Linked DNA regions of Caenorhabditis elegans. The protein of the gene in region 1 interacts with the protein of each later gene in a biochemical or structural test. Each region holds a gene or a part of one and is shown in the gene's direction. Other genes may lie near its edges. The genes, in order: tpxl-1, spd-5 and air-1.

Region 1 (7,622 bases):
TTCGTCAGGAAAAGCTCGACCAGTTGAAGCAAAAGGAAGAGCGTAATGCTAATTTGGCGAAACTTCACAACAGTGCAAAGTCGCCAACAAGAGCTCGTTTGATGCAAGACCATGCTCCAAACAAGGCTGCAAGTAGAAAAATCTTCCCAACGGCGGAAAGCACATCCACTCCTGGTCGAGGCCCTGCTAAGAAGGGAAAAGTTGAGATTCTAATTGGCTCAGATGGACAGAAGACTGCTCCTGTGGCTCAGCCGACCGTTGAACTATCGGTGAGTATTTACTTGATTGTATTTTCCTAATAATAATTTAACTCATTTCAGCCTTCCCGAGAATTGCAACGAAACGGTAGCCGGCAAGTCAAAATGGAGCCGATGAGCTGTGATGATTCAACTCCACCGGCGCGTCAACATAAACCAAAGGCGAAAGCGACGAAACGATCGGCCCACGCAGCTTCGTCTTCTACATCAAATGTTGAAGCTGCTGCCGCACTTGCCGCTCTTCAGGAACAGCAACGTATTCAGCTGGAACAGGAGCAGTATCTGCTACAGTTAGCAGAAGATGAACGACGAAAGCGGGAGCAGAAGGAAATGAAAGAGAAAGCGGAGAAGGAGCGTCAACTCAGAGCTCGAGAAGAGCAGGAGCATTTTCTGGCCGTTCAGAGAGAAGAGCAAGCTCAGCTGGAGAAGCAAAGAGAGCGAGAAGAGGCAGAGCTCCAGGCAACACTCGCAAGATGCGCGGAGAAACAAGCTCGTCAGGAAGCTCTTCGAAAAACGCCACCACCTGCAGCCTACGAAATGACTCCGCCACGTACCTATCAAAACAACTCAAAGAATGACTATGGTTTGAACGATCTTAACAGTGATGACGAGACAGATCAAGAAGATGATCCACGCAAAGATGTCCCGGCTTGGGCCGAATTCGCAGTTGTCCGTGAGAATGTCAGAAGACATGCCATTAATCCACCATTCGACGTGGCTCAATTCTTCGGATCGATTGGAAAGGTAATTGTTTTTTTTTTCTTGCAGCTCCTTCAGTAAAAATTTAAAAATTTTCAGCCAAATCTAAAGGAAATCTTTAGTGATGCTGTCAAAGTCAAGAAGCGCGGATCGTCAGCAGTGTGGAAAAAGAGTCCATCAACGTTAAACACGTCGTCTCGCACAATTCTTCAAGACATTTCGGAATGATGTTGTACCGAAGCAGCTTACATCGCCAGGAGTCGCTCCAGCATGCGACATAATCTTTTTTCAAAAATTGTAAAATGTTTTTATATTTCGTATTGAGTTATTTTTTATTTTCAATGTTTCCCCCTTTTTAACGGAGAATACAAAAACTCCATCGGCCCTAACTTTACATTAAATTTTTTTTTCGCTGTAAATAATAATTCTTCAGCCGATTTTTATTTTATTGTTCACTCATTGATTAACGTGTTCTGAATTCACGAGTTTATTTATTTATTTATTTTTCTATCAGTTAGAATTCAAATTATCATTTATTTCTTTCTTATAGGATGAGCAAAAGTCAAACCATTCAGGAATTCGATGAGAATTTCTTCAGCAGCTTTGCTGTACCGAAAGTCAAGGACTATTCGAGATTATCGAGCTCGCCGAGCAGAGACCAGCCGTGTGAGACGTCATACTTCGAAAATCACTTTCGTAAGACTATTCAAATATTATTTTTCATAATAAAGTTTTAATTTCCAGCAAGCCTGGAATGCGACACGCCGGTCAAAATGCAACTTCCCAAGACGAAGCGGGAATCCGATGATGATCTCCCATCTCCAACTATCGATAATCTTCTTTCGTCTTCATCGGAATCCACTGTAATCAACGCAAGTCAAAATGACAACACAGAAGAGAAGCAGCAGCAACCAATCAGAGAACCACTCAAAATCGTGCCAAACGAGGACGCATCAGCTTCAGGAAGCGGTGGAGAAAATCAGCTAATCGAGGGACTTGAGAAATTGTCAATGTTTGCACCAAAAGCTCCAGAGGAACGTCTTTCGCAGCGTCGCCGTTCAGAGCAGAGAAAGAAAGAAGAGGAAGATAAGAGGACATCCGTCATTGCTCCAGCGTCCGGAACTCGTTCTCGCTCGATCAGCACGAAACGTTCAATGTCGCGTGAGCCAGCTGCAGCAGCTCCACGAGCACCATCTGTGCCACGTCCACCTCACAATTCTGTCACTCGCACCATCTCCGCGCCAATTGCAAATACCGGACCAGGTGTCATTACTCGTGCGATGGCTGCTCGTGTCGCTGAAAATGTCACCAAAACAAGTGTTCGTCGAAGTGTTATGCCTCTCAAAGTGGCTCAGAAAACGCCGGTTGCCGCAGTAAAATCGGATGCTGCTACTGCAGGAGGTGACAGATCCCGTGACCGTACACGCCGTACCAATACAACGGCTTCTCGTCGAAGTGTTTTCCCCAATAAGCCTGCTGCTGCTGCAGCAAACACCACTCCAATTGCTCCACCGCGGCGTTCGGCATCGGCGAACAAGGCAACAGCGCCGACGTCGGTGAGCAAATTGACGCCGAAGATTCGTCCGATTGCAACAGCCAATCGCTCATCGATTCTTCGAATGAATGTTGTGAAGCCAACTGTTCCGGCTCCGGCTCCTGCTGATGCTCAACAGAATAAAGCGGCTTCACGTCCTGCTGTTCCAGCTGGTGGAGCAGCTCGTAACCGGCAGCCGCTTCGAGTCAACCCGGGAACTCCGAGCACAACGATCAAGAAACCACCAGTGGTAATTTAAAAAATTTGCCTAATTGTTTAATAAATCGAATTTCCAGGCTTCATCCGTACAACGCCAGCCGCCGACTCGAGCTCGGTCAGTGGACCGTTCTGGCCAACCTCCAATTTCGGCTTCCACTCCAGGGGTACATTTGTGCAACGTTTTTTTTTCTATATATATATTTTTTGAATTTACAGAAAGCCTCCCGTGCTGACCTTTTCAACAGACTTGCCACACCAAAGGTTACTGCTACGCCAACGAGGACTTCACACGAGGGCCCAGCGTCGAGTATCCGAAAATCTGCTGTGCGCCCTGTGCCATCATATGTGTACAGCTCCTACAAAGGGTATGAGAAGAAACGATGGATTTATTGAACTCAAAATTCTTCAAAAAAGGAAAAATTGATTATTTAAACAGAAAAAATTGTAATAACAAATTGAGAACAATTTAGGCGGGCATGAAAGACAAAAACAATTTGCAATGTACAGTAAAGTGTGCAATTTAGAAACAAAAACGAACAAGAAATTAATCAAAATTGTTATTCTTCGTCGACCATCTCCCATTCAGCCTTCTCTTCCGATTCCGTTGATGCTTTCGGCTCCTCGTCGAGTTCTTCAACTCCCAAATTATCCACCAACTTCTTATGAGCATCATTCAACTGAACAATCTCTGCATCGTGAATTCTCTTCGTTTCGATTGCAAGTTCTGTGTGCTCGCGAATGGTTTCCTGGAGTTTGTCAATTGTGGTACGATCCGAGATTCCTTGAGATGTCAGAACGCGACAATGATTGCCAAGAACATTGTATTGCTGTTTCATTGATACCATTGCAGCTTGGAATTCGTTAATCTCGGCATTTTTCTCATCTGTTTCCTTCTTAAACTGGGCTTGAGTAACCTCATTGATCTTTTTTAGCTGCTCGATTTCAATAGTGGCGTAATGGAGACGTTGTTGGATTCCGGATTTCGCATCTTCCAAGAGTGCTACTTCAAGTTTGTGATGTTCAGTCAAATTTCCAATTTCTTTCTGAGCATTAGCTCGAGACACTCTGAGTGCAATACATTCTTCAGAAACGAGAGTCATTTTGCTTTCTAAAGCCAAATGTGCGGTTCTGAGATCATCTTCGGAGCTCAAAAGCAAACTGCACTGGTCTCTCAAGCTTTGATGAGCAGCATTGGATTGCTCTAGTTCGTTTCGTACCGTCAAAATCTCATTGGCGTGCTTCTTCTTCCCAGATTCCAGAGCCATTTGTCCTTTGATCAACTCCTGATTAATTGCCAACATATGATTGTACTTCATATTATCAATTTGCTTGGCGTACTGTTGATGCACAGCAACCATTTTTGCATCCATCTCACTCTGCATCTGGCCTTTTTCGATGTCCCGCTCCTGAATTGTTGTGCTCAATTGTTCGCGGAGACATTCACATGTGCGATTGACATCTTCTTTCTCCTCCTTCAAAATTTTGAAGTCCTCCTTCAGATCGTAATTCTCCATTCTGAGCTCCATCAGTTCGGTTTCAGACTCACGGAGCAACTCAATCGTGTCACTGTGCTCGCTGGAAAACGCAGCAGCTTTATCACTGCCAAGTTTGAGTTGTTCTTCAAGATGAGCAATGACTGCTTCATCCTGTTCGTGTTCGTCCTTTCTGAACTGTAAGCATTCACCGAGTCTTGCAATTTCATCTTCCAACTTATCGCGAAGATCTTTGTTGAAACTGGTCACCGCTTCTGTAACTTCAGCTTTTTCCTTCATTGCCAAACGAGTAGAGCCAAGTTCCAGGCGAACATCGGACAACTCGTTGAGCAAAGCTCTAATTCGGTCAGTCAATTGCAATCGTTCAGAGTCAAAGTAGTCATTTTGACTCTTCAACTTTGTAATTTCAACTTCAAATTCATTCTGCTTGACCTTCCAGTTTTCCTTCATTTGATGGATCTGCTTCAAGGTGTCTTCTCTTCCATACATCAGATCATTCAATGCAGATGTGAACTCCTTTGTCTGCAATTCCAGTTGAAGCGAAATCTCGTCTTTCCGCTCAACAATATCTTTCATGGCAATATCTTTTTCACAAACTTCACGTTCCAGCGTCTCAATGCGGCTCTCGTGCTCTTCGTTTTCCGTTTGGGTTTTCTCGAGCTCCTCGTTACAGTTATCCAATGCAAACTGGGCACATTGCCGAATCGATTCCAACTCGTGACAATCTTTTTGAAGTTTTGTATTCTCATCTGAGATCCGCGTAAGAGCTTCTTGAAATTTTTTCGAGTCGCTCAACCAGATCTTTCTGAGCTCCTCTTTCATCTCTTTCAATTCCAAGTTTTCGGCCACAAGATCTCGGTTCAAAATTTTGAGATTGTTTTCTTCGGAGGTCGTTTCTTGAGCGGACGATGCTTTTTCTTCGGCTTCGTCAAGCATGATCTCCAATAATGTGGAGTAGGTCTTGGCTTCCACGTTTTCCTGAAAAATAATAGGTTTATAGCTTGAAAAATTGCAATTTACTAATTAATTAAGTTCCATTAATTCTATTATTAGTTATATTAAGTTAATTAATTTCATTAATTGAATTGATTTTCTCAATTCTCTAAATAGTGAATTGAATAAGTTGCTCACCTTTCTGAGAAGCACAACTTCGTCCTTCAACAACTGGTGTTCTTCTTTTTCCTCAGCCAGCATTTTGTCCAAGTTTTGAAGTGAGTCTTCAGCCAATTCGATCTAAAATATAAACACTTGTTCATGGCACATTCAACTATTTTCAAAACTCCAGAATTCATTGAAAACACGTGGTGTCAGAGTGTCTCATTTCGGCTTGATCTACATAAATCTACAAAAAAATGCGGGAGAAGAGACACAGAGTTCTCAACTGATTTCGCATGGTTAAGAACATATTTTTGTGCAAAAAATTCCCGCGTTTTTTGTAGATCAAACCGTGATGAGACAGACTCTGGCACCACGTGTGAAAATGGATTTTTTGTGTCTCAACAGAATCTAGAACAGCTCAAATACTTACCGGCTCTTGATCCTCTGCTGACGATGAAAAAACTGTGACAGTTCTGTTGGCACTCATTCTTTTGAAAGCTGTTGAAATTGAGATCTGCAAAAAATATCGATTATTGAGAGATGTGTTACACACACAAAAATTAATAGTGAGACGAATGACAAGGTCACCATAAAAAATATTCGAAGAAGGAGAAAGAAAGCTTGCGAGGCTGTGAGAGGAAAACGGCGATCAGGTAGAATATATAATTCAGTTGTTAGGCATTGTGTGGTAGTAGCTAATGACTGAGAATTGAATGAAGAACCCGAGAAGAGAGGAATGAATAATATGAAAGAGAGTGAAAAAGAGAGAGAGAGAGAGAGACGAGAGATATGGGTGGTCTCGGGGAGTGAAAGAGGGAGAAATGGCAACGGTTTGGATAGCTCGACGAGAGCAAAAGAGACAGCCTCTGCATAATGCTCTGCGCTCTCTTGCTCTCTGCATATTGGCAGCGTCTAGCCACCGAGAGATGGGCCACGGTAAAAAGCGAGAGAGAGAGAATGGTCCGACTGATGTAATGTACAGGCCAAGGTTACAATGTGGATAGTTGTGGAGGACTGCGCGTTTGGTTAGATGCGCCACTAGGGCGGGGCTGCTCTGTGTTTGCTCTCTGGAAATAGCGTTGTGTGAGCAGAAGAGGGAGATTTGGGAAAGTCGGGGTCACGTTAAGGGTCAGAAGATGATGTTAAGATTGGGGAAGGGGTGAACAGGTGAAGTGGAAATAGTATTGAATGACTTTTTGGTGGTCTTTGATGTCGAGAAAACAATGGATATATATGACAATCTGGAAGATTTAGAGCATTACATTACAGAAATTCAAATTTTAAAGGTGGTGTAGTCGAATTTTTTTATTGTCTTATTAGACTCGATATTCTCTCAAAACACCGAGTTTCACAATGAAACTTCTTGAAAACTTTTCAGAAAAAAGTTATGACGGCTCTAAAAATGGCCTAAAATTAGTTAAAATCGGAAATTTGACCGACTTGTCAATGTCGCAGTGGCTGGAAATAATTTTTTTTGATATTACCGCCAAATTTTGAGTATACAAGTCGATTACCTCGCGTTTTAAACGAGTATTTAAAAATCGATGGACGGCGAGTTTTGGTTAAAAAAATTAAAAATCAAAGATTTTTTAATACCTTAATCAAGTTTAAAACGTAAGATAATTAACTTGTATACTCAAAATTTGGCGGTGATTTCAAAAAAAAATTGTTTCCAGCTGCTGCGACATTGATAAGTTGGTCAAATTTCCGATTTTAACTAATTTTAGGCCATTTTTTGAGCCGTCATAACTTTTTTCTGAAAAGTTTTCAAGAAGTTTCATTATGAAATTCGGTGTTTTCAGACAATTATGAGCCTGATAAAGCAATAAAAAAAATTCGACTACACCACCCTTAAAAGTGGGAAGTTAGGAAAAGTTATAGGATTTCGAGCTAATAAGGAATGTAATCAGTAGTTTTGTAGGGCAAAATTAGGTGCCTACAAGGCAGGCATAATATGCCTCGAAGATGCCTATCGATAGGCGATGAAACATTTATCTGACTACATGAAAACCTAGAATTGTAAAATTATTTTTGTTGTCTTAAAATGATAAAAATATAGTCTAAAATGACTGGCTGGAGTAGATAAGATTCTTCGATTTTTTTCATAGAAAGTTTTTTAAAAATCTATAGAGATGTAATGATAAAATTCAATTTTTCATCAAGTTTTGTTACTAATGACGGAAGAAAAATATCAGAAAACAACATCTTTTCTAAAAAAAAATGGCTAAAACTTGAGCCATTTTTGCAAAAAATGCTATTTTTCTGAAAATCGAAAACGAAAACACAATTCCGACAAATTTCCGGTTCGCCGATTTCCCGAAA
Region 2 (7,626 bases), 2.9 Mb from region 1:
TCTTCTTTGGTAGTGGCAGGCGAAGTGAACTGACGAACGGAATGCCAATCGAAATCTGTGAAAACTCGTCCCTTTTTCCATTGGATAGCAAATGAGATCCGTTTCATCGAATAGGTTTTCTTTGCAGATGAACTTTTGAAAAGAGCAGAAAGTGAAAATAGTGCAGCTGTGAGAGGATTATACAATTCCCTGAAACAATTTTATATTTAGACAAGAAAAAAACCCATTTTATAACAACGATTCTTACCCATCTTGTGTCTCATCAAGACTTTCCGATTCCTTTGATGGGAAATAGTTTTGAATAAGCTCGAGATCAACAAGTCGTTCATCAACGGACATCGATGTTTCGAACATTTGTAGATGTTGAATTTGATCATTTGAAACTTTGAGAATATGAACTCTCATCCCGACGCTTTTTCCCGAAACTGCCAAATCACATCCAACAATCAGAAGAATATCCACATCGAATGAATAAGCTCTGATAGAATATACAGTTTCAGTTGGTTCCATTGGAGACTTTTCTTCCTCGAAGTCTGCAGATTCTAGATCTCGATTCAAAGATTTTCCGTCTGAAGCAAAGTAGTTATTCAAGTCAATAGTGCTTGGCAATTGTTTTTTCGTCTCAACATTCCATGCTTGCACCCATCCGTCTCTGGTAACAGCGAACACAATATCGGATTGGACTGAAATTTTTCGCTCTCTCGTGACTCCAGAAGTCGGGCGAAGATTCTTCATAACACATGCATCACTGACTCGTTTATCAGTGCCACCTAGAAGTTTTCCCAGAAGACCAACTTCTCCCATTGTGAATTCTTCGTGTTTATCACTGGATTCCGTGTATGATCCCAATGTGACAATGACCAACTGCCCTTCAGCGGTACAGTAAGAAATCTGAATTCAAAATTCGAAATATAGGTTGTAATCAATTTCCATTTTTATACCGTATTTCTTGAAGGATGATGTGTAACACTTGCACGAATCGGGCGCCCTGGTGTTGAAAGGGAGTGAGATGTTCTGAATCGGCGGAAATCGTCATCTTCTTTAATTCTTGCAAGAATTGAGAACGTCTGAAAATAATTATTCTCATTCGATTATGGAAATTTTTGAGAACAAACATCATGGCCTTTGGAGTGGAGTCTCGCGTAGAAACGATGAATTGCAGAAGCTGTGGGAACGACAATACATAAAACCCCTTCCTCGAAAATTGTTATCGATGTTCCAGGAATAATAGGTGTGCGTGTGAAGTCAATGCACAACGATCCATCCGTGATTGAGTAGAGCAAAGAACGCTCCTCAATGAACAGTTTCTGGCCAATCGCACGCCACAGGAAAATCCGATCGCCGTAATTTGAGCAGTGCGGAAATGTTGCAACTCCTGCGGACGGTTGCACATCAAATCCATTCGAATGAAGCGGCGCATCTAAAAAAGTGAAATTTGTTGTAGAAACAATTATTTAATGAAATTGAAACTTACTGGTGTTTACCACAAAAGTTCTAGCCGGCTTTATAGCAAATCCATCCGTGAAGCTGATTTCCGACCCGTAAACCAGCTCCATCTGAAATTAAGCATAAAACACGATGTTAAAGCAAAAGAGAAATATGGAGATGAAATAAACACGTTCAAAAATATTTAAATATCGTTAAAAACAATTTTTCATTGGCGTGAACTTGTTTTACTTGTTTTTTATACGTTTTTTTATACGTGAAAAAATGGAAGAAAACAATTCACTTTAAATTTTAATCACTTATCGAGAAGGTTCTCATTGGATTCAAAGAAAAACTTGTTAGAAATTTGTGAGTTTTTACAATAAGCTTCATATTTTGACACTTTGCGATGTAAAATTTTACAAAACAATGATGAATTGAGCCGAAAACGCCTCCATATGGAGCTCCATTCGAATTCAAAAATAAGGGGCGTGGCTGCATGAGCAATACCGCCGCATGGTATTTCGCAACATGCGCACACTTTTTCTCTGTCAAGAAAAACGAGGCCCCACGAAAAGGGGATCTGCAAAAAGGGGATCTGCGAAAAGGGGAGATACGAAAAGGGGAGATACGAAAAGGGGAGCAACGAAAAGGGGATCTGGCACTGTGCCAAACGCTATTTTTCTCGAAGAAAACGATACAACGATTGTCGCGAATACGCAGAATACTGAGTCATCAACAATGACAAAGCCGGGAAACTCCTGTTTGAAAGCCGCGCCAAAAGACACACACGTCACGCGTGTTACAGTACTACCACACATGCACATCAAACCCCAACACGTCGACACCACGCAAGGAAATCGTCACTTCTTCGTTTTACTCTTGGACCGGCAGGTCGCATGTTAAATATATGAGCTTTCTCATTTTTATCATTTAACGGATTTATCAGTAATAAATTATATAATTCTACCACTTTTGAACCTATACCGATCCGAAACATGGTGCATCGGCTCCGATGTTACGCGTCGCGTGTTGTTAAGCGTATCTTCTAGAAGAAAATTTCAAAAATCAACGTGCGTTGCGTGAGAAAAATTGCGTTTTGTGCGTTTGGCACAGTGCCAGCTCCCCTTTTCGTTGCTCCCCTTTTCGTATCTCCCCTTTTTGCAGATCCCCTTTTCGTTCTGCTCCCCTTTTCGTGGGGCCTCAGAAAAACGCGCGCCTAAACGTGAATTTTGAATTTTCTCCGCGTCCGCGAAATTCTTACGTTTCCATAGTAACAAAAGTTGGTCCGCACTTGTTTTTCATGATTATGCACGCCCAAAGAACGGTGCTGAAGCTTCAAATTTTGCAACCTCCTGTTCATTTTGACTCAAAACTCTTAATCCCAAAAAAACGCTCAATTTTGTTTTCGAACCCGTTTCTTGTTTCAGAAAACTTCGCGTTAAATGGAGGATAATTCTGTGCTCAACGAGGACTCCAATCTCGAGCATGTCGAGGGTAATTATAACATTTAAAATCAATAACTGCATAAATGCAAAGGTTTTTTAGGCCAGCCACGAAGATCTATGTCGCAACCAGTTCTGAATGTTGAAGGAGACAAAAGAACGTCTTCGACCAGTGCCACTCAACAGCAAGTATTGTCAGGAGCATTTTCGTCTGCTGATGTTCGTAGCATCCCCATCATCCAAACATGGGAAGAAAACAAAGCGCTTAAAACAAAAATAACTATCCTGAGAGTAAGTAATTTATCATATGCTTATTTAGAAATGATTTGAGTTTGTAGGGAGAACTGCAAATGTATCAGCGCCGGTATAGTGAGGCAAAGGAAGCGTCGCAGAAGAGAGTTAAGGAAGTTATGGACGATTATGTCGATCTCAAATTAGGCCAAGAAAATGTTCAAGAGAAAATGGAGCAATACAAACTGATGGAAGAGGATTTGCTAGCAATGCAATCGAGAATTGAAACTTCCGAAGACAATTTTGCCAGACAGATGAAAGAATTTGAGGCACAAAAGCATGCAATGGAGGAAAGAATCAAGGAACTGGAATTGTCCGCTACTGATGCAAACAACACAACTGTCGGATCTTTTCGTGGAACTCTTGATGACATTCTGAAGAAAAACGATCCAGATTTCACATTAACCTCTGGTTATGAAGAAAGAAAGATCAACGACCTGGAGGCAAAGCTCCTCTCTGAGATCGACAAGGTAGCTGAGCTGGAAGATCACATTCAGCAGCTCCGTCAAGAACTTGACGACCAATCTGCAAGGCTTGCCGATTCAGAAAATGTTCGCGCTCAGCTTGAAGCGGCCACTGGACAAGGAATCCTCGGAGCTGCTGGAAACGCTATGGTTCCAAATTCAACGTTCATGATCGGGAACGGTCGTGAATCACAGACGCGAGACCAGCTCAATTACATTGATGATCTTGAAACGAAGTTAGCTGATGCGAAGAAGGAAAATGATAAGGCTCGTCAGGCACTCGTTGAATACATGAACAAGTGTAGCAAGCTTGAGCACGAGATTCGAACCATGGTTAAAAATTCGACATTTGATTCTTCTTCCATGTTGCTTGGTGGTCAGACATCCGACGAGCTTAAAATCCAAATAGGAAAGGTGAACGGTGAATTGAATGTGTTGAGAGCTGAAAATCGAGAACTCCGCATTCGTTGTGATCAATTGACCGGAGGCGATGGAAATCTTAGCATTTCACTGGGACAAAGTCGACTGATGGCTGGTATTGCGACTAATGATGTCGATAGCATTGGACAAGGAAATGAGACTGGCGGAACATCGATGCGCATTCTTCCCAGAGAAAGTCAATTAGATGATCTTGAAGAAAGCAAATTGCCGCTCATGGATACATCATCTGCTGTTCGAAATGTAAGTGTATGAAAATTATTATTTAAAATAAAGTCTTGAATATTTAGCAGCAACAATTTGCCTCCATGTGGGAAGATTTCGAGTCAGTGAAAGACAGCCTGCAGAACAACCATAATGACACCCTTGAAGGTAGTAAAATTGATTCCTAGATTTTTTGAAATTGATTATTGTTAGGTTCCTTCAATTCGTCAATGCCACCACCTGGTAGAGATGCAACTCAATCGTTCCTCAGTCAGAAGTCTTTCAAGAATTCTCCGATTGTAATGCAGAAACCAAAATCACTTCATCTTCACCTGAAGAGCCATCAATCCGAGGGAGCTGGCGAACAAATACAGAATAATTCGTTTTCTACGAAGACTGCTTCTCCTCACGTGTCACAAAGTCACATTCCAATTCTGCACGATATGCAACAAATTCTGGATTCTTCTGCAATGTTCCTTGAAGGCCAGCATGATGTAGCTGTAAATGTTGAGCAAATGCAAGAGAAAATGTCCCAGATCAGAGAGGCTCTTGCTCGACTTTTCGAAAGACTTAAATCTTCTGCTGCTCTTTTTGAAGAGATTCTTGAAAGGGTATGAAAACTGTCAAGTTGTGAATCTGTAAATCTGAGTTTTTTGTAGATGGGATCCAGTGATCCAAATGCGGATAAGATCAAGAAAATGAAGCTCGCATTTGAAACAAGTATTAACGACAAGCTCAATGTATCTGCCATCTTGGAAGCAGCGGAGAAGGATCTTCATAATATGTCACTCAATTTCTCAATTCTCGAGAAGTCGATAGTTAGTCAGGCTGCGGAAGCTTCGAGAAGATTCACTATTGCACCCGATGCTGAAGGTAATATAAATTTTAGAGACGCTCATAAATCAATATTTTCCAGATGTCGCCTCATCTTCTCTTCTCAATGCCTCGTATAGTCCACTCTTCAAGTTTACAAGCAATTCAGACATAGTGGAAAAGCTTCAGAATGAGGTATCGGAGTTGAAAAATGAATTGGAGATGGCTCGTACACGAGATATGAGATCTCCATTGAACGGTTCGTCTGGAAGATTGTCGGATGTGCAGATCAACACCAATCGCATGTTTGAAGATCTCGAAGTATCTGAAGCAACGCTACAAAAGGCTAAAGAGGAAAATTCTACATTGAAAAGTCAATTTGCTGAACTCGAAGCCAATCTCCATCAAGTTAATTCTAAGCTTGGAGAAGTGCGATGCGAGCTCAATGAAGCGTTGGCTCGTGTGGATGGTGAACAGGAGACTCGTGTCAAAGCTGAAAATGCATTGGAAGAGGCTCGTCAGCTCATCAGTTCTCTAAAACATGAGGAAAATGAGCTCAAGAAAACCATTACTGATATGGGGATGCGATTGAATGAAGCAAAGAAGAGCGATGAATTCTTGAAAAGCGAGTTATCTACCGCGCTGGAGGAAGAAAAAAAATCCCAAAATCTAGCAGATGAGTTGAGTGAAGAATTGAATGGGTGGAGAATGAGAACAAAAGAGGCGGAAAATAAAGTTGAACATGCTTCATCCGAGAAATCTGAAATGCTTGAAAGAATTGTTCATTTGGAGACTGAGATGGAGAAGTTGTCGACTTCAGAAATTGCGGCCGACTATTGTTCTACGAAGATGACAGAAAGAAAGAAGGAAATTGAGTTGGCGAAGTATCGCGAAGATTTTGAGAATGCCGCTATTGTAGGATTGGAACGTATCAGTAAGGAGATATCTGAGCTAACCAAGAAGACTTTGAAAGCCAAGATTATCCCAAGGTATTATCAAACGTCGTGCTTGTTTTTTTTTATTTGAGAACATTTTCAGCAACATCTCATCGATTCAACTCGTTTGCGATGAACTCTGTCGTCGTCTTTCCAGGGAACGAGAGCAACAGCATGAATACGCGAAAGTTATGAGAGACGTCAATGAAAAAATTGAAAAGCTTCAATTAGAGAAAGATGCTCTCGAACATGAGCTGAAAATGATGAGCTCTAATAACGAGAATGTCCCACCAGTTGGAACATCGGTCAGTGGCATGCCTACTAAAACATCGAATCAAAAGTGTGCTCAACCTCGTAAGTCATACTTATGCACATCAGAAGTTGAATTTTCACCAATTCTCCAGATTACACGAGCCCTACTCGACAATTGCTCCACGAATCAACTATGGCTGTCGACGCAATTGTTCAGAAACTCAAGAAGACTCACAATATGTCAGGAATGGGTCCAGAGCTTAAGGAGACGATTGGCAACGTCATCAATGAATCCAGAGTTCTTCGCGATTTCCTCCATCAGAAGCTCATTCTATTCAAAGGAATCGATATGTCCAATTGGAAGAACGAGACCGTCGATCAACTGATCACAGATCTCGGACAATTGCATCAGGATAACTTGATGCTTGAGGAGCAAATCAAGAAGTACAAAAAGGAACTGAAACTGACAAAATCCGCCATCCCGGTATGAAATTCTTTTTCTATTGAAATCTATTTTGAAAAATATCATTTTCAGACACTTGGTGTCGAATTTCAAGACAGAATCAAAACGGAAATTGGCAAAATCGCAACTGATATGGGAGGAGCTGTGAAGGAAATTCGCAAAAAGTGAACTGATCTGTTAATGTATTAAAATGGAACCAGTTTTATCAACACTATCATCTCGACAAGATTAACTTGTAACGATTGTATTGTTTTCCCAGCCTAAAGATACACCTAATGCATCTATCAATGTACTTGTGAATTAAATGCTTCTTTTCTGGTAGTTGACTGCAATCCCATTACAGATAATAAAAGGAACAGATTAATTTAATGAAAAAACAGCGGACAATCTTACAATAATACAAACAGTTGAGATAAATAAGACAAATTTCGATGGAAGATTTATACAATGACATTGATCAGCTTTCCTCTTCATCCTCTTCGAAGATATTGTGAAGGTGATAAGCTTGACTTTCTGTAAAATTAAGGCGTTTTGTAAATTCAAGAAATTGTGAATACCTTACTTCTGTTTTTCAAGTCTTCCTTTTCGGTAATAGCCGACAAATTAAGGGAGAATGTGACATCGCTTGGATCTGCGTCTTCTCGTGATCGAATCGGAGTTGAACAATGACGTCCTGCACCAAGCTTACTTTCATCGAAAATCAACGGAGTCACTCCGCGTGACAGTGGATCATTTTCAGTGTTACCAGATGAACTTGTTGGCACATTTTCCTCTTCCTCGTCAACAGATTTCCGTTTTCGATTAGAATTCTCTTTCACGACTGGTGGCTCTGTTGACTGACCCCGACGACTACGACGCAAAGTGACGTTGGCCGAAATATTGACTTCCTTTTCCGG
Region 3 (4,473 bases), on another chromosome or scaffold:
TCAAATCTCCTGTTTTTACAGCAATTGAAATAAGCCCGTGATAAAGTGAAAGGCATTGCCGAACTTCTGGGACTGGAAGGAGATCATAGTGTGGTGATGTCATCTTTCTCATAAGTCCGTCCACGTGATGATTTATACCGGCAATACATACTTGACGAACTGTTTTGACGAGATCTGCGAGCATTATTGTAAAATAACTATCTTTTCGAATCAAAGTCTCGAACTTGTTTGCATAGAAAATTAAAATATTTCCCATTTTGAAAATTGTGATGGCATTTTTTTCTGTCGACAGCAGTTGCTCTACCCTAATCTGTAAACTATTATCATATATTATAGTCCAATAATTTAAACTTTTTACCTTGAACGGCGAAGTCAAAGATTTCAGGCATTCATCAAGAACGATCGGAAGATTTTCTGCGGAACAAATTGAGCTGAACAACTGTTTTTCTTGCTCCGTGAGCTCGTGAATCGAAGTCAGCATATCTCCAACTGCCTTCAGTGGTTCTGCCAACCCTTCAGGCATTTGGACAGCCATTTTGTTAATTTCAACAAACTGATTGAGCAATTCTTGTGAGCGAGATGAAATGTATTGGTCTGAAAACTAGGTTAATGGTGAGTAGATTTGAAGAACTAAACGTACCAATGGCAAGCTGGAATACAGCATCATTCTGACTTATGATTTTGAAAGCTTTAGAAAGAATTTGCTTTTTCTGATGAGAATCAACTGTCAGATTTTGAAATTCGCGTTTCAGATTGTTACAGATAATTGCATGGCTTCTTTCGTCAATTTTTTGCATTTTTTCCATCACTTCAAAAGCGGCAAGATGTCCTTGCTCCTGAACCATATTTCTGCAGTTCTCGCGAATTTCGTGGCACCTCTCAAGAACTTTGAAGAAAAATTCCGATAGATGACCACTTTGTTCACATTCGTCTAATTCTCGAAGCTCTTCACTTGATAAAGAATAGTTTTCGAGAAATTCATTTATCATATTACAACGGCTTTCTATACTCGCTTTCTTCTCCTTCAAGCTTGCTGTTTTCTGCACCAAATCAACACTTTTGAACTTTACAGTCTCCATTTGCTTTGATAAATTCGTGCATGTGGAGTTCATTTTTACACAGAGCTCATCGAATTTTTGCACAATGTTATTTATCTGAAATAGCAGATTTAAAATGAAATGATTTCAGGTTTATTCTAACTTTTTCGAACTCGCTCAAATATTCCTTGTTTAGTCTCAACTCGTATCGTTCTAGTTTATTGTGTAGTTTCCTATCAACATTTGAATCAAGGTTCATATCTTCGACCAGTGGAGTGATGAAATCAGCAATTTTGATGCAATCCTGTAAGAAATGCCATAAGTTTCGTTTGTAATTAATATTTTAGCTGACCTTGTCATTATACAGCTTCTTTGCACATGCAGTAGTCACTTTTTCTCGTAAAGGATTGACTGCTGATGAAGTTTTATCGATTACTGACATTTTATTGATTCAAATTCACCGAATTCTGCGAAAAAAATCGCAGAACTCAGTGGAATAGAAAATGCAGAATTGATTTATTCGCAACGTGTCAGCAACGACACTCCGAAATAACAGAGCGCGTGTTGTTTAGCAATGCCGCTCAACAACCCGCCAAGCAAAATTCATTCAAAGTGACTGCCTTTGTTCTAATTTTTGACGTGTTCTTGAATTAGTCGCGATTTTCTTTTTCCTTTCTCATTAAATTTTTTATTCCTCAATTTTATTATAATATTTCAACTCGCAGAATTACATTAATCATGAGCGGAAAGGAAAATACTGCTCCTGTGATAGACGATCAGAAGGCCGAGGTAATTGTTATTAAAATTAGAAAGGCATCAATTCTAATCTTCAGGTTATTTCACTTACGGAAGATAGCAGACCTCAGAGAGTTGACCAGGCAAGGGAAGAATCATGGTGAGAATAATTGATTTATTACTTTTACAATGTAATGGACTTTAGCTGGAGTCTTGATGATTTTGACGTTGGACGGCCTCTCGGAAAAGGAAAGTTTGGAAACGTTTTCATCTCTCGTGAAAAAAAGACCAAGCGAATCATAGCTTTGAAAGTACTCTTCAAAACACAGTTGCTTCAACTTGGAGTCAGTCATCAGTTGAAGAGAGAGATCGAAATTCAATATCATTTGCGGTATGTTTTCTCGAAGTCATCTCATCCAAATCAATTAATCAATATTATTTCAGTCATCCGAATATTCTCACTCTTTATGGATACTTTCACGATGACAAGCGTGTGTTCGTCATTCTCGACTATGCCAGCAGAGGAGAATTATTTAATGTCCTCCAATCACAACCTGGACACAAAGTGAATGAGGTCATTGCCGGAAGGTGTGATTTTGTAGATATTTCAGAAATATAGTAAATTTCCTCAGATTTGTGCGACAGCTGGCCAATGCGTTGCATTACTGCCATTCGAAAGGAGTTATTCACAGAGACATTAAGCCTGAAAATCTTCTTCTTGATTCGAAGCTCAATCTGAAGGTACGCGTATAAATATGGTTAACTAAGTACTCAAAAAGTCTTCTGCAATGTTCTCAGTGCATCCTTTGGTTCTCCGAGCCGAAAGAAGTCACTAGCTGAAAAAGAGTTTATACTCTGATCACACAGTAACATTGCAATAAAAGCTTAGCTCGAGATGCGTGTGCCGTTCTGCTTTTAATGCGATCTGGTTCCTTTTCTCCTCGGGACAATTACCGTAAAAATTAAATTCAACACATTTTATGCATTCTTTCTAAAAAATAAGACTTGTATTTCAGCTTGCCGATTTCGGATGGTCCGTCGTTGCTGATCACTCGAAACGCCATACATTGTGCGGTACCATGGATTATCTTGCTCCGGAAATGGTTTCCAATCAGCCACATGACTTTAATGTTGACATTTGGGCAATTGGAATTCTTCTCTTCGAAATGCTTGTTGGATATGCTCCGTTCGCCAATCAAACTGGTGATAAATTGATCGCCAGAATCAAGGAGTGCAAGATTTATGTTAGTAATTATGAACTAAATTTGTTAGAATCTTAATAAGCAGTTCTCCAACAGAAATATGTGCATGAAGTGATGGTTTGGGTAACCATTTCATCTTTTCATGTCATATATCTCCTGCCTCTCACGGTTTCATCTGTGAGAAGCTTCAAAGAACTGCAATAGAAGTCTAGCTCGAGATGCGTGTGCCGGTTTGCTTTTAATGCAATATGGTTCCTTTTCTCCTCGGGACAGTTCTCAAACATTCATTTCCATTTTGTTTCCCAAGTAGTTTCATCTAAATTGCTTCTTTTTTGCAGATTCCAAGTGTTGTGACTGACGGAGCTGCCAGTTTGATAAATGCAATAATCAAAAAGGAACCCCAAGAACGTCTCCCACTTGTTGACATCATGGCTCATCCGTGGATTAAGGAAATGAAGCAACGCGAAGACATTGAAGTTCCACTCTTCATTTCGACGCTCACGAAATCCAGTCGCAATAATTCTACAGCCAATCAATAAAAGCTCTGTCTATTGTCCATTAAAGTCTCAACCTTTTCTACTTGTCTTTCCAAACAATTATCATCTGCACTTTCCCTTCTTTAGAACCGTATATCATACGGCTACTAACTTCTTATTTTCGCTAATCCATTTAAGCAATTTATCCGTTTTCATCCTTTTGTTTCTTCTCACACTGACAACGAGAAGGATTTAAATTTATCTAAATCAATTATTCTTTATTTGTGTGTGTGTAAAATCATTAGATTCCCGTGAAAGTACTGTATCGTGTGTTCCCGTCTGCCCCATTAATTTTTTCCCAAATTTCGCATCCAAGTGTCTCGATTATCACATAAACGATGGTGCACCTCTTTGTTCATTGGTTCTCAGAAGAAATACAATGCTTTCTGCTAAAAGCCAAAACTCAAACAGTGGTGGCGGTAAGTAGAAGGCTGCCGCCTTTTTTGGCACTGTTTTGTTCCGCCAAAAAAGTAGCATGGTATGCAAACATTATAACGAGTTAACACTACATTGGTAGGAGTGGGAACGTTTTTTGGAACAGCTAAAGTTTGAAACATAAAGCGGAGGTTTAACAACGTTAAGTGGTATCTGGCAGAGAGCCTTAAATATCGTACATTCGCAAAAACTTTATCCTAGCTAGGTGCTATGTGCTACATGAAAAATTCTAGTTTTTTCTGTACATTTCAGAATTTCAAAATTCGTATAGTACATTTTCCATATCAAATGAAAAAATCTGTAAATTTTGGAACCTCACTATGACTGAGTTCGTGCCGAGACCCACTCAGGAAAACATCGTGTGCCTTTTAACTGATATCTCAGCATTTCGTGAAAATACAATATAAACATTTCTTTCTAATGTTTAATAATAACTGTAATCCTTGAAATGAACTGATCAATTAGATACTAGAATAATGCACAAAAATGTTTAATATTTGCGCGAATAACTGGTCGTTACCATCTGGT

The links.
Region 2: the proteins of tpxl-1 (region 1) and spd-5 form a complex in vitro, tested with the Caenorhabditis elegans proteins (one study listed by BioGRID).
Region 3: of the proteins of tpxl-1 (region 1) and air-1, one has a biochemical effect on the other in vitro, tested with the Caenorhabditis elegans proteins (one study listed by BioGRID).

The regions. Positions count from the first base shown.
Region 1 is NC_003279.8:2,298,278-2,305,899, reverse strand, and holds the start of tpxl-1 (TPX2 domain-containing protein), read left to right. Parts: upstream 1-1,506; 5' UTR 1,507-1,507; coding exon 1,508-1,652; intron 1,653-1,700; coding exon 1,701-2,740; intron 2,741-2,786; coding exon 2,787-2,873; intron 2,874-2,925; coding exon 2,926-3,074; coding exon of another isoform or gene 3,075-3,102; exon of another isoform or gene 3,103-3,266; coding exon of another isoform or gene 3,267-5,180; intron 5,181-5,333; coding exon of another isoform or gene 5,334-5,435; intron 5,436-5,730; coding exon of another isoform or gene 5,731-5,787; exon of another isoform or gene 5,788-5,814; intron 5,815-7,622. Other genes in the region: icp-1 (Inner centromere protein ARK-binding domain-containing protein), read left to right, coding at 1-269, 321-1,001, 1,056-1,184; epg-2 (Ectopic P granules protein 2), read right to left, coding at 3,267-5,180, 5,334-5,435, 5,731-5,787.
Region 2 is NC_003279.8:5,170,766-5,178,391, reverse strand, and holds spd-5 (Spindle-defective protein 5), read left to right. Parts: upstream 1-1,737; 5' UTR 1,738-1,794; intron 1,795-2,855; 5' UTR 2,856-2,870; coding exon 2,871-2,922; intron 2,923-2,973; coding exon 2,974-3,161; intron 3,162-3,208; coding exon 3,209-4,306; intron 4,307-4,353; coding exon 4,354-4,435; intron 4,436-4,480; coding exon 4,481-4,878; intron 4,879-4,926; coding exon 4,927-5,140; intron 5,141-5,183; coding exon 5,184-6,069; intron 6,070-6,118; coding exon 6,119-6,369; intron 6,370-6,419; coding exon 6,420-6,751; intron 6,752-6,802; coding exon 6,803-6,898; 3' UTR 6,899-7,090; downstream 7,091-7,626. Other genes in the region: npp-6 (NUP160 middle TPR domain-containing protein), read right to left, coding at 1-189, 248-891, 942-1,067, 1,116-1,420, 1,475-1,556; Condensin-2 complex subunit hcp-6, read right to left, coding at 7,091-7,243, 7,288-7,626. UniProt on the Caenorhabditis elegans protein: Plays a central role in centrosome maturation and mitotic spindle assembly during the first division of the zygote. Required for the centrosomal localization of air-1 and zyg-9. Probably not required in late embryogenesis and during larval development.
Region 3 is NC_003283.11:8,219,726-8,224,198, forward strand, and holds air-1 (Aurora kinase), read left to right. Parts: upstream 1-1,762; 5' UTR 1,763-1,775; coding exon 1,776-1,826; intron 1,827-1,870; coding exon 1,871-1,932; intron 1,933-1,977; coding exon 1,978-2,163; intron 2,164-2,216; coding exon 2,217-2,360; intron 2,361-2,404; coding exon 2,405-2,513; intron 2,514-2,555; exon of another isoform or gene 2,556-2,724; intron 2,725-2,788; coding exon 2,789-3,016; intron 3,017-3,053; exon of another isoform or gene 3,054-3,248; intron 3,249-3,312; coding exon 3,313-3,513; 3' UTR 3,514-3,857; downstream 3,858-4,473. Other genes in the region: cogc-6 (Conserved oligomeric Golgi complex subunit 6), read right to left, coding at 1-310, 359-594, 641-1,154, 1,201-1,341, 1,390-1,479.